Linked DNA regions of Macaca mulatta. The protein of the gene in region 1 interacts with the protein of each later gene in a pairwise test. Links are inferred from orthologs where the notes say so. Each region holds a gene or a part of one and is shown in the gene's direction. Other genes may lie near its edges. The genes, in order: DHPS, EIF5A2, NIF3L1 and MAPK3.

Region 1 (4,275 bases):
GTGAGACCCTATCAAACAACAGCAGGCCAGGCGCGGTGGCTCAAGCCTGTAATCCCAGCACTTTGGGAGGCCGAGATGGGTGGATCATGAGGTCAGGAGATCCAGACCATCCTGGCTAACACGGTGAAACCCCGTCTCTACTAAAAAATACAAAAAACTAGCCGGGCGAGGTGGCGGGCGCCTGTAGTCTCAGCTACTTGGGAGGCTGAGGCAGGAGAATGGCGTGAACCCGGGAGGCGGAGCTTGCAGTGAGCTGAGATCCGGCCACTGCACTCCAGCCTGGGCGACAGAGCAAGACTCCGTCTCAAAAAAAAAAAAAAAAAAAAAGGTAACAACAACAAAACCAGCGTCTCCTCCCGAGGGGACAGAACAGAAACGAATGGGCGAGCGCCGGCAAAGCGGTGGGTCTCCAGCAGGCGGCATTAAAATCTTGGCTGGGGGCAGTGGCTCACGCCTGTAATCCCAGCACTTTGGAAGGCCGAGGCGGACGGATCACGTGAGGTCAGAACCAGCCTTGTCAACATGGTGAAATGCCGTCTCTACTGAAAATACGAAAATTAGCCAGGCGTGGTGGTGGGTGCCTATAATCCCAGCAACTCGGGAGGCTGAGGCAGGAGAATCGCTTGAATTAGGGGAGCAGGGTTTGCCGTGAGCCGAGATTGCAACACTGCACTCCAGCCTGCGTAACAAGAGTATAACTGTCTCAAAAATAAATTAAATAAATAATACAAATAAAAAAGAATCTTCATGCGAAGTCGGGAACACATGAAAAGGCGTAAAGGCCTGGCGCGGTGGCTCACGCCTGTAATCCCAGCACTTTGGGAGGCCCGAGGCGGGCGGATCACCTGAGGTCGGAAGTTCGAGACCAGTCTGACCAACAAAGAGAAACCCTGTCTCTACTAAAAATACAAAATTAGCCGCGCGTGGTGGTGTATGCCTGTAGTCCCAGCTACTTGGGAGGCTGAGGAAGGAGAATCGCTTGAACCCGGAAGGTGGAGGTTGCAGTGAGCTGAGATTGCGCAATTGCACTCCAGCCTGGGCGACAAGAGTGAAACCCTGTATCGAATGAAAGAAGAAAGGAAGGAAGGAAGGAGGACGGGAGGGAGGGAGGGAGAGAGGGAAAAGGAAAGAAAGGAAGGAAAGAAAAGGAAGGAAGGAAGGAAAGAAAGAACAAAGAAACGAAAGAAAGAAAGGAAGAAAGAAAGAAAGAAAGAAGAAAGACAAAAGAAAGAAAGAAAAAAGAAAAAGACAAGACCTAAAGGCTCCTCGCGGCTTCCGTATTACGGAACACATGCGCAAAGATGGCGGCGACCAGGTTTACAGGGCCTAAAAATGGTCACGTGAAAAATCAACTTCCGGTCTTTCTTCCAAAAACGCATTCCCTACTTCCTGTGCTCCTGCGAGACGCACGCGTCGGGGATTAACGCGTTTCTGGGCCGCCGTAAGCCCGGCTAGGGGCCGCTGTGACTCGAGAGCTGGCTACAGGCGCATGGAAGGTTCCCCGGAACGGGAGGCGCCAGCGGCGGCGCTGGCCGCCGTGCTAAAGCACAGCTCGACGTTGCCGCCCGAAAGCACCCAGGTTCGGGGCTACGACTTCAACCGTGGTGTGGATTACCGCGCGCTGCTGAAAGCCTTCGGCACCACCGGCTTCCAGGCCACCAACTTCGGGCGCGCTGTACAGCAAGTCAATGCCATGGTGAGGACGGGGGCGGGACTTCTAGGGACGCGGAGGGGCGTGGCTTGCAGAACCAGTGCGGTACGGGGGCAGGGCTTCCAGTGGAGGGGATGTGTCTTTTATTTGAGCGGCCCAATAGTTGGAGGAAGGCGGGACCTATTCTGGGCGGGAGTTTCTGTCCTGGGAAGGGGATTTTGCACTGTAGTAGTTACAGGGTAGTACGGTAGCCCGAGGAGGCAAGGACTGATTCTCGGTGTGGGAGCGGGTTCCAGGTAAATTTAAAGCTTTCTGGAATGGGCGGAGCCTGAGGCTATACAAGTTAAGGGAGGATTTGGGAGGAGGAGCCTAAGTCTGGGCGGTGATTGAATTTAGATTTGCTTTTCCCAGCGGGGAAGGGACCGGATCTGAAAGGAGATGCTCTCTGATTCCTAAAAACGTGGGGGCTGGCTGGGCGCGGTGGCTTATGCCTGTAATCCCAGCATTTTGGGAAGCCGAGGCGGGTGGATCACTAGATCAGGAGTTCGAGACCAGCCTGGCCAACATGGTGAAACCCTGTCTCTACTAAAATTCAAAAAATTAGCCGGGCATGGTGATGCGCGCCTGTAGTCCCAGCTACTCCGGAGGCTGAGGCAGGAGAATCGCTTCAACCCGGAAGGTTGCAGCGAGATCGCGCCACTGCAATCCAGTCTGGTGACAGAGCCATACTCTGTCTCAAAAAAAAAAAAAAAAAAAAAAAAAAGGCCGGGCATGGTGGCTCACGCCTGTAATCTCAGCATTTTGGGAGGCTGAGGCGGGCGGATCACCTGAGGTCGAGAGTTCGAGACCAGCCTGACCAACATGGAGAAACCCCGTCTCTACTAAAAAGACATGCCTGTAATCTCAGCTACTTGGGAGGCTGAGGCAGGAGAATTGCTTGAACTTGAGAGACGGAGGTTGCGGTGAGCCAAAATTGCGCCATTGCACTCTAGCCTGGGCAACAAGAGTGAAACTCTGTCTAAAAAAAAAGGGTGGGGGCAAATCCTTAACGCGTGTCCTGAGATCTGGTCTGGGAAGGGGCAGAGTTTGCACAGGAGATGTACCTTGGTCTCCTGTAGAACTGGTCCTATATCCCTGACTGTGCAGGGCCTGGGGTGAAATCTGTTTCTGGAGCCCACCTGGAGTCCTGGGTCTGGGATTTAACGCCAGTGCTTAACTCGACCTGGCTCTTACTCTCAGATCGAGAAGAAGCTGGAACCACTGTCACAGGATGAAGACCAGCATGCAGACCTGACCCAGAGCCGCCGCCCACTTACCGGCTGCACCATTTTCCTGGGATATACATCCAACCTCATCAGTTCAGGCATCCGTGAGACCATTCGCTACCTTGTGCAGCACAACATGGTGGGGACCTGGTGGGGCCGTGGCCTTGGCCTCTGGGTCAATGGGCGATGCAGTTATTGATCGTTTAAGTGAGATGGGGAGATAGGAGTCTGTTACAAGCAGAGGAACAGAATCGAGTTTTGTTTTGTAGCAGAGCTCCCTCGTAGGAGTCACTGGACAAGGATGAGGTTAGAAGTCCTGCCCAGAATGAGGGCCGGGGCTTCCTTCTTGGGCCAACTTCACTGCCCTGTGGCTGCAGGTGGATGTATTGGTGACCACAGCTGGCGGCGTGGAGGAGGACCTCATCAAGTGCCTGGCGCCCACATACTTGGGCGAGTTTAGCCTCAGGGGGAAGGAGCTCCGGGAGAACGGAATCAATAGGTAAGAACCCTGAGTGGTGCTGGGCAGGGGAGCTGGACCAAGGGTCCTGGGGCCTGATGCCCACATGCTTCCCGTCCTCAGGATCGGAAACCTGCTGGTGCCCAATGACAATTACTGCAAGTTTGAGGACTGGCTGATGCCCATTCTGGACCAGATGGTGCTGGAGCAGAACACAGAGGTGGGGCTGGGGCAACCTGGAGGGGCCAGTCCAGTGGGAGTCAGGGGAGGCATGGCCTGAAGCTCACCTCCTCTCCTAGGGTGTAAAGTGGACGCCTTCTAAGATGATCGCCCGGCTGGGCAAGGAGATCAACAACCCAGAGTCCGTGTATTACTGGGCCCAGAAGGTGAGGACCTAAGCAGGGGCAAAGTAGCCAGACTTTGACATGTGTTACTTCATCTTTCCAGCCACCTGGGGATTCACCACTGTTATTCTCAGCATCCTCACGCTTAGATGAGGAGACTCAAACACAGATAGGCATGGTAAATTTTTTTTTTTTTTTTTTTTTTTTGAGACAGGATCTGGCTCTGTCACCTAGGCTGGAGTGCAGTGATGTGATCACAGCTCACTGCAGCCTCAACCTCCTGGGGCCAAGCAGTCCTCCCACCTCAGCCTCTCGAGTAGCTGGGACCACAGGCACATGCCACCATGACCAGCTAATTTTAAAATTGTTTTGTAGAGATGGGGCGGGGGGGCTCCGTATGTTGCCCAGGCTGGTCTTGAACTCCTGGCTTCAGGCAATCCTCCCACCTTGGCCTCCCAAAGTGCTGGGATTAGAGGCATGAGCCACTGTGCCTGGCCAGGCTAGGTAATTTTGTCCCTAGTCACACAGATAACTAGTGGGGCCTCAGCATCCTTATGT
Region 2 (4,020 bases), on another chromosome or scaffold:
TAGCTAGAGGCTGAATGCAGTACATGAGAGGGCAGTAACTTATTGCAAAAGTTAAATTGGACATGTTTGAAAGATATGTGAAAACTGTAGAGGCACATAGGAATGTGAGGTATGGGATTATTCATGAGACAGCAATAGGAAATCAAAGTACCACATAAATGCGGGTGTGGAACGGGAAATAATTTCCTAGGTCACCTCCCCAAGAGGATACTGTGGTGAGTTGTGAAATGAAACTGTGAAGGGGGAGTACATCTCTTTTAAGAACCTTTCTATTGCAGTCTACAAGCTCTAGATCAATTTTGAAGACCATCTAAGCGTTCTAATGTGGCACAGTTAAACCCCAAACTCTAAGGAATGCCAATGCCAGGAGGAAAGAAGGCATGAGGTGGCAGAACACCTCTCTGGACCCACAATGCCGTAGAAGTCAGACACCCTTCGCCTCCACAACTTCACAACAGCCTTTGCTGTGAGAAGTGGATTAATTCATTTCACTGCTGGCTTGTTAGCTGGCGGATGCTTCAGGAGTTCCTACCCGGGGGAGCAGCGCTGACTCTACAGGGGCACCCCGCGCCAGTCGCTGCCAAAATTCTCACCAAGGGGTGAATGGGGTCCTCAGGACCCGCGGTGCCGAGCTAGGTATTAAAATACCGCACCTGAGTTCTTCTTCAAGGACCAGGAGGCGGTTCGAACCCCAAGAAAGGCTGCAAGCTGAACCAGAAGCTCAAACCTAAAGTTCGCTTCACAGCCAGCCACACTGGCACTCGCTGAATCGGCGCGCCTCGCGAGTTCTGACAATTGTCATGTGATAACTGCCACGCACCTGATGGCAGAGGCCACTGGATGCCTTGCTTGGTTCCCATTAAAGTCGACTGCGACCCCAACGCAACAAACCTAAGAGTTGGAAGGCGCAAGTTCCTCCGCCAGCGAGCTCACCCTCGGCAATCAGACTGCTGAAAGTGCGCTCCACGCCGGAAGTGCACTAATCCGCAGCACGTGGGGTTGCCAGGGCGCTCTTCACGTGACTGGGCGGAGCCTCAGGAATCTGGTAGCCAATGGTAGCCCGAGAGGGCGGTGCCTGTGACGCTCCGGGGCCTATCCCGGAAATGGGGCTGAGGTGGGGGCGGGTAAGGGCGGGGAGGCTGGGGTGTGGAAAGTGTGGCGGCCCCGCCCCGTCTCTTGGAACTGCCGCGGCCGCCACCGCCGCCGCCGGCGCCGCAGCTGTAGGGGACCAGCGCGGGTACGCAGACGAAAGGCACTCTTTGCCAGCTGAAAGGTGAGGACCTGGGGAAAAGCTGGTGGGGATGGGGCCAGAGCGAGGCAGGGCCGGGGAAGGCGTCCAGAGCCAAGCGCTGACCGAGGGAAGGAAGGAGAATGGATGGGGGAACAGAGGCGAGCGCGGGACCGCCGGGGCTCAGGCCCTGGTGGGGCCGGGCCGAGCTGAGCCGAGGATGCCGGCAGAACAGGGGGCGCCTATGCGGCCGCGGCGGCGGCGTTGAAGGGTGGACGGGGGGGTGCGCGCCAGCTAGCAGAGGGCCGGGTGCCGCCGGCCAGGTTCTGTTACCCCGCATCCTTCGCGGGGACGTGCGGCCTGGGCTGGATACCCCGCAGCAGGGTTCGGGGCGGCGGCCGAGTGCTGGGCGGCGCGGGAAGGTCGCCGGCTTCTGCGGTGGGGCGATGGGGGCCGCAACCTGCTGTTTCCAGCGCGGAGGAGCGCCCAGGGCGGGTGTCCCCACCCTCAGCGAGCTCTTCTGCGACTTCTCATCCCACCTCCCCAAGCAATAGCTGGAAAAGTTTGTAGAGGCCAGAGTTAGAAAGTGTCCACTAGTCTAGGGTGGGTGTTCCTTACATGCAGAAATAACAGGCCCGTGATGCTTGGCACATAACTTGTCCGAAATGAGACGTTTCCGTGCCTACATACCCGTTGTTGAAAAGCAAACACAAACTTTTTGTGTGTAGTTCCCACGGAAAAACTACCATCTCCCCAGCCCACCATGGCGGACGAAATTGATTTCACTACTGGAGATGCCGGGGCTTCCAGCACTTACCCTATGCAGTGTTCGGCCTTGCGCAAAAACGGCTTCGTGGTGCTCAAAGGACGACCATGCAAAATAGTGGAAATGTCAACTTCCAAAACTGGAAAGCATGGGCATGCCAAGGTAAGTGCCCTTGCAGATCAGGCTTTGGCTTTGGCGTTGGAACTTTGATCATTTGTGTTCCGTTACAGATCATGAGATTTCTATACTTAAAATTTTGTAATAAGCACTGTTTTTTCCTTCCCACAATTACTGGGTGATCAGTTATTACGTTGAATACTGAAAGGTAGCAGTCCCTTCTTGGGCCCTTAACAATGTTCATTAACTGGGAACTGAAACTTTCCTGAATCCTAGTGACTTAGAAGATCTATTCAGTTTACAGATAAGAAAACCTGTTCCAGCAATTCTAAGAAACCTACACTTTATTTTTCTTGTGTAATCTCATAATTGAATCACTGGACTATATTGGGTCTTGACATGTGATACTGTTTAGTTGTTTACTGCCTCCTAATTGTAAGACCACTACTTTTTTTTAAGTAAAATCAGATGACCTTGGAAGGCGGAGAAAAGGAATCTGTCGTAATCAGCGTTGGTATTGTGCTCTTGTGTGTGTAATGAGTGATATACTTGGCAGAGATTAAACAGGTTTCCTGTTCTCCTCTGTTAGGTTCACCTTGTTGGAATTGATATTTTCACGGGCAAAAAATATGAAGATATTTGTCCTTCTACTCACAACATGGATGTTCCAAATATTAAGAGAAATGATTATCAAGTAAGCACTGATTTTCTTTAGAATGTTGCTTGTTACTTCAAGGTGCAAATACTTTGTACTATCAGTAATAATTTGACAAAACCCAAGAGTAGTTTTGTAGGTTTTTCTAACCAATTATTAGGCACCACCTATCTTAGAAACTGGAGAAATAGTGATGTTTAACACTTGTACCTTTTCTAGGATTATTGCTAGTTTGCTATTTTTTTTCACATTCTTGCATTTTTTAAAAAGTCAAATACTTATTAGTGCTCCTCAGGCCAAGTGACTGCATATTGCAATTAAGTCCAATGTTTAGTAAAAGTACTATTCTCTCTGTTATTATATATTTCTTATTCTAATTTAAAACATCCCTCCTGGATGTTTTGTTTCTTTTCACTGATCAGACCTAAGACATTCAAGAAACTACTGAAATTCATGTTCCTACCAAGTTTTTGTATTAATGAATGTTAGTCAGAACCTGACATTCTTAAGTAGGGAAATAAGTTGAAAGCCATAAATATAAAGTACATGGTCACTGAGTATGGTGAAGAAAACACGAAAACTATGTAATTGGTTAAATTACGTTCAGTGACCATGTTGTGACCTTTTGCTAAATTATATATGTAAATTTCAAGTTTTAGTTCCAGCTATACATTTGGGTAGGTCATATTTAATGATAGCATTTTGTTGTTTGGAGTACTGATGATAACCAAATAATTGACCTTATAGGATGTGGAAGCTCAGATTACTCATAACTAAAGCTTTTCTTGAAAGTCTTCAGTTTCTACATCAAGCATATCATATATCAAACTCATTTCTGCTCATTTTACGTAGTAAAAACTACATAGTTGACACTGGTATTTGTTTTATCCAACTTAAACTGATTTTTTTCTGTACCCTTTATTGTATAAATTTTTTTAATGTTGCTATCAACTGCACTTATGCAATGATTTCCTTTTGCTGTTTGTCCACATGCAAACATACTTTTTTGTAGTTTTAATCTAGTAAACACTTCTATGTTTTCATTTTCCGACTTGTCATAAATGTTTTCTAGGTTGCTTTGAAGTCTTTGTAGAAATTTGAATTGTCTTGCAAGTGGGTTTTTTTAACCAGGTAGATCTGAGTTTGGATCTAGTTCTGTCACTTTCTAGTTGGATGATTTTGGACAAGTAATACAACCTTTCTGAGCCTGTCTTCTCATCTACAAAATAGGGATAATATGAGGATTAAATGAGA
Region 3 (3,561 bases), on another chromosome or scaffold:
CTCTTGGGTAGCTCAAGCCCACCTCCCATTCAGCCTCCCAAGAAGCTGGGAGTGCAGGTGCACGCCACCATGCCTGGCTAATTTTTGGATTTTTTAATGGAGATCAAGTCTCACTATGTTGCCCAGGCTGTTCTCAAACTCCTGAGCTCAAACAATCCACCCACCTCAGCCTCCCAAAGTGCTAGGATTATAGGCATGAGCCATCGTGCCTGGCCTGATTATTGATTTAAACATCTGCCTTCTTAGGAAACTGTGAGCTCCTAGAAGAATGATTTTGTCAGGTTTGTGTCCCCACATTTAGCCTGGAGCTTGCTGTAGTAACCTCACAGTGTGCATACTGATTGATTTTAGCATTTGTTGTTTTAGGACTGACAGTGGACACCGTTTCTAACTTCTGTTTCTCCTCAGCCTTTGCTTCTACATACTGGAATGGGACGCTTATGCACACTGGATGAGTCTGTCTCCCTGGCAACCATGATTGATCGAATCAAAAGACACCTAAAACTATCTCATATTCGCTTAGCCCTTGGGGTGGGGAGAACCTTAGGTAAATATTGCTCCTTCATTTATCCAGTATGCCTACTGTTAACATTGGACAAAGGTTGAAACTCTTGATTGTATTAATATGTGATAGAGAATGTGTTAGCAGCTCATAGGAGATCATTGGTTTACTTTATTGATTAGGGTAGGCCAGGTCCTGCTGTGGAGTACATCTCATTGGCCTAATCAATGAGATTTATTTCTCTGTCATGCTATGTGTTCATTTCAAGTTGGTTATTTTAGGAAGTCTGGCCATTGTAGACTGGTTGTTGTTGCAGAGGGAGAGAGTTTTGCAGGGTCTTAAACCATCAGTTCAAAATTCCAGGAAACATGTTCATTTCTGCTCAACTTATTTTCCAGATTTAGTCATGTTATCCAATACAACCAAGGGAGGCATAAAGTGCAGTCTTACCATATGTCAGGAGGAGAGCTGGAATCATGATTGCTACAATTACAACATAAATTTTGCACTTACAAGACTGGTAATATTTTCTAGTGAGGTGCCACTGAGTGATCTGATCCATTGCAGTTTCTAAGTCTTGTATTTTTTCTTCTGGCCTTTCTCGGTACTTTTGAGAACAAAAAGAGTGAACAGACATTTGTTCAACACCTGCAGTGAACCTAGCACTGTACTGATTGTCTGTCCTGAGTGTGTGAGCTCCCACTGGCAAAAGCAGTGGGGCACAGTGGTTATAGGTATAGATTCTGAGCTCAGACAAACCTGGCTTCAGATTTGTCTGTCCTCTCTGTTTGCTGCTTGTCTTTGACAAGTTGTTTATGCCCTCTGTGTCCCAGTAGTCTCATTGGTAAAAACTGCATTAATAATAAAACCTAACTCAGAAGGTGGTAGTATAATCCATGTGACATGGCACAGTGACTGGCTCACATTAAGTATAGTTAAAGTGCTAGCTCTTGTTAGCTTTGTGGTTGGTACTATTTCTCCTATGTTATAGGTGAACAGTTTTGGTTCAGAGAGATAAGTAACTGTATTAGTTCGTTCTCACACTGCTATGAAGAAATGCCCAAGTCTGGGTAATTTATAAAGAAAAGAGGTTTAATTGACTCTTTAATTTATAAAGAAAAGAGGTTTAATTTATAAAGAAAAGAGGTTTAATTGTTCTGCATGGCTGGGGAGGCCACAGAAAACTTACAATCATGGCGGAAGGCACCTCTTCTCAGGGTGGCAGAAGAGAGAATGAGTGCAAGCGAGGGAAATGCCAGACGCTTATGAAACCATCACATCTCATAAGACTCACGCGTTATCACGAGAACAGCATGGGGGAACTGCCCCCATGACCCAATTACCTCCACCTGGTCCTGCCCTGGACCCGTGGGAATTATGGGGACACAGAGCCAAACCATATGAGTAACTTATGCAAAAGTCCAGTTAGATCAAACAACCCAAGGGAGTTAAGTGTCCAAAGAAAATGGATAGCAGAGGTGGGATTTGACTTCCAAAATAACTCCAAAGCCCCATCTTTGGGATACCGTGCTGCTGAACTGGAGTGACCACTGAAGAAGTGTCCATTTTAGAAACCCAAGTGCTAAATACTTGGATTTTGGTTCAAAAGTTGCGGTTATTTCACTTTTCAGAGGATGCTTTTTGAGAATAAATAGTATATTTAAAAATATGTGCCAACTCCATTCGTAGCATTCCTCTTTCTCACTAGTCCTTTTAGTTCCTTAGCTTCCTCCCCTGAGAATAGAGATAGTACTTGCCTACCTCTCACTGTTGTCTGAAGACCCAGGTGAGATTACTTTACCCAGCAACGTTGCGGTACTGCCTGGAGCTGCACCATTAGTACTATTCAGTGGTTTGTGAGTGTGCAGCCATGTCAAAGGAATAACGGTACTCCCTTCAGCAGCACATATACTAAAAATTGGATGATATAGATTAGCATGGCGCCTGTGCAAAGATTACACGCAAATTTGTGCATTGTTCCATATTTTGTGCAATTCACAAAGGTTGTTAGTTAAAAAAAAAAAAGGAATAATAACTGTACCTTGGGTTAGCTATGCAATATCAAAAGAATGACCTGTTTGCTTATATTAAAACATGTTTTTTTTTTTTACATGCAGAAAGAACAATTCGTATACTCGTGATGAGACCAGGAGTAAAATCTGTATTATGTTTAGGATTCTTGCTACAAATTATAATAGTAAAAAGAAAGGGAATTGTAAAGTATTGGTCTCTTGTTTCCTTTGTCTTAAAGAGTCTCAAGTCAAAGTTGTGGCCCTGTGTGCTGGTTCTGGGAGCGGCGTTCTGCAGGGTGTCAAGGCTGACCTTTACCTCACAGGTAGGACAGACTTTGGATCTCTCTTGGTTTATTTTTTGCAAAATCAAAAATGGCAGATTTTAGGACAGTACCTGGTACATAGATGATACCTAATTAATGTTTTGTAAACTTGAACTAAACAGAAACTACAACAGAATTGGGACATACTGCGTTCTTTGTGGAGGGATGAAATCATTGAACAATTTATTATCTCAAAAATTAATGGTCAGCATTTATTTTACCTACATTCTTCCTAAACTGTCCCAAACCTCTCAGATTTCACGTCAGTGGGATACTTTCTACCCTGTCACCTTAGCTAGGAAATGGTTCCTCTTAGCCTAAAGCCAATCATCAATTCCTATCAATTCAAGCTCCCAAATCTTTCTAGAATCTTCCCCCTTATCTGTCCAGGCAGTGTCTCCTACTTGAAGTACAGCATCAACCCTCTAATGTTATCTTCCATATATTCTCCTGAAATTAACTTTTCACAGTGCGTATTTGATGGTCTTGACTAAAAAGACTTCAGTGATTTCCTTCATCTGTCTGGTAGAGCCTGAACATTGCATCCTCTTTCTTGTACCCTTTGCATATGCTGTTTTCTTTGGTTAGAATGCCTTTTCCTTGTTCTTCTTGTGATAAGTGAGCACCCCCTCTGAGAAGCCTTCTCTGACACTGTCCTGCTTCTGCCTCTTGTGGGTCCCTGTCACTTTGTCCTTGATCTCCAGTGTGCACTTCTGTTGGACAG
Region 4 (4,127 bases), on another chromosome or scaffold:
TTTTGTCTCTTGATCTGTAATGCATCCAAGGACCTACTCCCAGCTTCTCAGGGAAAAAAAAAAAAAAAAAAAAAAAAAAACCCACTACATGATTACTTACTGAAGGTTGGGAGCTGTGTGTTTTTGTGAAGCTTCCAGCTCATATCTTTGCTGTGAAATGAGGGGGATGGACTGGATGATCTCCGAGGGCCCTTTCTTCAGTTGTAACAGTCTGAGATGGACAGGTGTGATCCCAGAGCTTTGGGAGGCCGAGGTGGGAGGATCCTGTGAAGTCGGTAGTTTCAGACCAGCCTGGACAACATCGCAAGACCCAGTATCTACCAAAAAAAAATTATATTTTCTTTTTTTGAGATGGAGTCTCGCTCTGTCACCCAGGCGGAGTGCAGTGGTGCAATCTTGGCTCACTGCAACCTCCACCTCCTGGGTACCAAGCAATTCTCCTGCCTCAGCCTCCTGAAGAGCTGGGATTACAGGCGCCCACCACCATGCCCAGCTAAGTTTTGTATTTTTAGTAGTGACAGGGCTTCACCATGTTGGTCAGGCTGGTCTCCAACTCTGTCCTCAAGTGATCCGCCCTCCTCAGCCTCCAGAAGTGCTGAGATTACAGGCGTGAGCCATAGTGCCCAGTCCCCCAATTTTTTTTTTTAATTAGCAGGGCGTGGTGGAGCGCACGCATAGTCCCAGCTCTTTGGGAGGCTGAGGTAGGAGGATCACTTGACCCCAAGGAGGTTGAGAATGCAGTCAGTAAATATTGCACCACTGCACTGCAGCCTGGACGACAGAGTGAGACCCTGTCTCTAAAATAAAATAAAAACAGTCTAGGATTCTGAGAGGCATGGAATTAAAAAGAGCCTCTGTCAGAAGACATCATTTTGAGTCTCAGCTCTGTCATTACTAGTGACCTTACTCAAGTTAGTTAGCCCAACTCTCAGATTCCCCATCTGTAAAATTTGATTCATTTATTAGAACAGTTTTTTTAACCTAGGGTGATCTCGGGCCCAGGTTCTGGTGGGCTGCCGCACACATTGGCTGGGTGGCTCTGGTAGGTCACGCCCTGGCCGCTTCGCCTTCGAGAGGAGGGTGAGGACAGTCTCCGAGGCGGCGCTGCCGAGCCTCCCCGTGACTTGGTGACCGCGGAGCCAGCAGAGACCCCCGGGCTCCCGCACCTAGGGCGAGAAGGGCGGGCGCGCGCCCGGGGTGGGTCACGTGACGGCTCCAGGCCCGCGCGGGGCCGGGGGCGCGCGGGGCCGGGGCAGGGGCGGGGCCTGGAGCGCGCGGCCCTGCGGGTGACAGGCGGGCGGGAAGGGGCGGGGCCTCGGGCGGGGCCGCCGGGGGGAGGAGGGCGGCGGGAGGGGAGGAGTGGAGATGGCGGCGGCGGCGGCTCAGGGGGGCGGGGGTGGGGAGCCCCGGAGAGCCGAGGGGGTCGGCCCGGGGGTCCCGGGGGAGGTGGAGATGGTGAAGGGGCAGCCGTTCGACGTGGGCCCGCGCTACACGCAGCTGCAGTACATCGGCGAGGGCGCGTACGGCATGGTCAGGTGAGGGGGCGTTCCGGGGGAGGGGGCGCCCTCAGGGGAGGGGGCTTCACAGGAGAGGAGGGGGAGGCGCCGAGCGCTTTCCGGGACGTGGAGACGCGGAGCGTCCCGAGGAGGCAGGGGACTCGGGATGATCGGGAGCGTCCCAGGGAGGGGACCCCTGAGTGCTTTCTAGGGGAGAGGGCGCTGCCTGCGTCCTCAGGGGAGGGGGCTTGGAGGCTTTGAGTCCACCCTTCTGTAATGATGGGAGGGGCATCTGAGTGCATGTGGGGGCCCGCGGGGACCCTAGTGACACGGGGCGAGGCCCAGAGGATGAGTACTCTCGGGGAGGCGACATCCTTAGTGAAGAGGCAGTGGAGGGCCCGTTTTGGGGGAAAGGGTGTTTTGGATTCCCCCTGTGAGGCAGTGCCAGGGAGCCTGGGGTAGACGAGCCGAGATCAGGGTGGGGCAGGGCTTTGGCCCCACCACCACCACCACCAGGTGCCCAAAGAGAGATGAGGGGGCCAGGAGTGCCACTTGCATGTTTTGGGAGGGGTCTGTGAGTGCCCCCGGCCCCACCGTGAGCTCTGGGACAGCCCTGCTGCCCGCTTCCCTCACCCTAGGACCCGCCCCTGCCCTGTCCATTCTCTCCTGCCCCTCCCCTGGCTGCCGTTTTCCCAGTATTTGCTCCATGGTGTGCCCCCAGCATCTGCACCCCCGGACCTGTCTTGGGTTAAGGAACCTTTCCTGGGAATGGGGGCGAAGGGTTCAGGGCCAGTAGAATGGAAGGGGATTGAGGAGAGGGGAAGTCAGTGAGCGGTCAGTCTCTTCCTCTGTTTGTAAAGTCACCGAAGGGCCGCCTGGCTGGTCCCCAGCTTTCTCTCTGGAGATCCCAGCCCTACACAGCAGGAAGGAACCAGCATTGTTTATGATTTGACCAGAGCCAGCTCCTGCTCTCTCCCCTCCCTGCCAAGGCCTGGGTGGGGCCACCAGGCCCGGACTCCCCCTTTGTAAGGCCACAGCAGCAGCCTCTCTCCGGTCCCCTCAGCTCGGCCTATGACCACGTGCGCAAGACTCGCGTGGCCATCAAGAAGATCAGCCCCTTCGAGCATCAGACCTACTGCCAGCGCACGCTCCGGGAGATCCAGATCCTGCTGCGCTTCCGCCATGAGAATGTCATCGGCATCCGAGACATTCTGCGTGCGTCCACCCTGGAAGCCATGAGGGATGTGTATCCTTCACCTTGCCCAGTCGGCTGGTCATACACAGCCTCGGAGCTGGGCTGGGGACCCGTTGCTTGCTTTCTGTTTCCATCTTACCCACCACCCTCCAAAACAAACCCAGTAAAATAAACTTTCCTGCAGAGGAGAAGCCACAGTGTAACAGGACTTAGAGGCCTCTGATGAACCCAGGCCTGCTGCAGCCGGGCAATATGGCCTTGAGCAAGTCAGTTCTCTGCTCTGTGCCCCAAGGGGGAGGGCTAGACAGGATGGTCTCTATGGGAGTGTTGTCTTCTGACATCGGCAGTTCTGAGACATGACCCAGCTTCTGCCCACAGTCACTTCTTGCTAACAAATGGATGGTTCTTTCCTCTCTTTCCTCCTTCCCCAGACTGGAAGGGAGACAGGGAGAAAGCAAACTGTCAGCTGGGCATGGTGGCTTATGCCTGTAATCCCAGCACTTTGGGAGGCTGAGGTGGGCAGATTACCTGAGGCCAGGAGTTGGAGACCAGCCTGGCCAACATGGTTAAACCCTATCTCTACTAAAAGTACAAAAAAATTAGCAGGGCGTGGTGGCGCATGCCTGTAATCCCAGCTACTTGGGAGGCAGAGGCAAGAGAATCGCTTGAACCCAGGAGGCGGAGGTTGCAGTGAGCCAAGATCGTGCCACTGCCCTCCAGCCTGGGTAACAGCGTGAGACTCTGTCTCAAAACAAAACAAAAACAAAAAAACTGCCTTTCTTGAGGTCCTACTGCGTGTCAGGTACTATACATGCCCAATGCTTTTTTTTTTTTTTTCTATTACACCTCCCAACTACCCTATGAGATAGGCTTTGCAGCTTCATTTCAAAGATGAGGGCAGAGTGCAATGGCTTACGTCTGTAGTTCCAACACTTTAGAGGCCAAGACCAGAGGATCAGTGGAGGCTGGGAGTTCAAGACCAGCCTGGGCAGCATAGTGAGACCCCATCTCTACAAAAAATTTAAAAATTATCCAGCTTTGGTGGTGCATGACTGTAGTCCCAGCTACTTGGGATGCTGAGGCAGGAGGATGGCTTGAGCACAGGAGTTCAAGGCTGCAATGAGCTATGATTGTGCTACTGCACTCCAGCCTGGGGGACAGAACGCGACCCTGTCTCAAAAAAAAAAAAAAAAAAATGAAGAAGCTGAGGCCCAGAAAACCTAAAATCAAGTGTTTCTGTTGCTGTCTCCTCCTCCCCTCCCCCAGATGGAAACTTGTCCTTCTTAGGACTTCTCACTCAGAGCCACACCCTAATCACCTGTGGACTTGCACCTTGCCCAGGGAGGGACAGCCTAGCCTTTGTTGTCCTCCCCTGATACTGCTTTCCTAGTTTGCTGTCCACTTCCTGTCTGGCTCTCCTTAGCAACTTGTGACAC

What was found.
Region 2: the proteins of DHPS (region 1) and EIF5A2 interact in binary tests that used the Homo sapiens proteins (3 or more experiments, as listed by UniProt). The two-hybrid records come from large-scale screens. The link is inferred for Macaca mulatta from reciprocal best matches to the Homo sapiens genes DHPS and EIF5A2.
Region 3: the proteins of DHPS (region 1) and NIF3L1 interact in binary tests that used the Homo sapiens proteins (3 or more experiments, as listed by UniProt). The two-hybrid records come from large-scale screens. The link is inferred for Macaca mulatta from reciprocal best matches to the Homo sapiens genes DHPS and NIF3L1.
Region 4: the proteins of DHPS (region 1) and MAPK3 interact in binary tests that used the Homo sapiens proteins (3 or more experiments, as listed by UniProt). The link is inferred for Macaca mulatta from reciprocal best matches to the Homo sapiens genes DHPS and MAPK3.

The regions. Positions count from the first base shown.
Region 1 is NC_133424.1:13,230,720-13,234,994, reverse strand, and holds the start of DHPS (deoxyhypusine synthase), read left to right. Parts: upstream 1-1,460; 5' UTR 1,461-1,489; coding exon 1,490-1,696; intron 1,697-1,797; exon of another isoform or gene 1,798-2,138; coding exon of another isoform or gene 2,139-2,219; intron 2,220-2,890; coding exon 2,891-3,055; intron 3,056-3,293; coding exon 3,294-3,415; intron 3,416-3,496; coding exon 3,497-3,593; intron 3,594-3,672; coding exon 3,673-3,759; intron 3,760-4,275. UniProt on the Homo sapiens protein: Catalyzes the NAD-dependent oxidative cleavage of spermidine and the subsequent transfer of the butylamine moiety of spermidine to the epsilon-amino group of a critical lysine residue of the eIF-5A precursor protein to form the intermediate deoxyhypusine residue.
Region 2 is NC_133407.1:82,589,670-82,593,689, reverse strand, and holds the start of EIF5A2 (eukaryotic translation initiation factor 5A-2), read left to right. Parts: upstream 1-1,191; 5' UTR 1,192-1,273; intron 1,274-1,956; 5' UTR 1,957-1,991; coding exon 1,992-2,156; intron 2,157-2,700; coding exon 2,701-2,805; intron 2,806-4,020. UniProt on the Homo sapiens protein: Translation factor that promotes translation elongation and termination, particularly upon ribosome stalling at specific amino acid sequence contexts.
Region 3 is NC_133417.1:106,002,339-106,005,899, forward strand, and holds part of NIF3L1 (NIF3-like protein 1), read left to right. Parts: intron 1-408; coding exon 409-547; intron 548-2,389; exon of another isoform or gene 2,390-2,491; intron 2,492-2,753; coding exon 2,754-2,837; intron 2,838-3,561. UniProt on the Homo sapiens protein: May function as a transcriptional corepressor through its interaction with COPS2, negatively regulating the expression of genes involved in neuronal differentiation.
Region 4 is NC_133425.1:28,437,010-28,441,136, forward strand, and holds the start of MAPK3 (mitogen-activated protein kinase 3), read left to right. Parts: upstream 1-1,296; 5' UTR 1,297-1,365; coding exon 1,366-1,535; intron 1,536-2,559; coding exon 2,560-2,742; intron 2,743-4,127.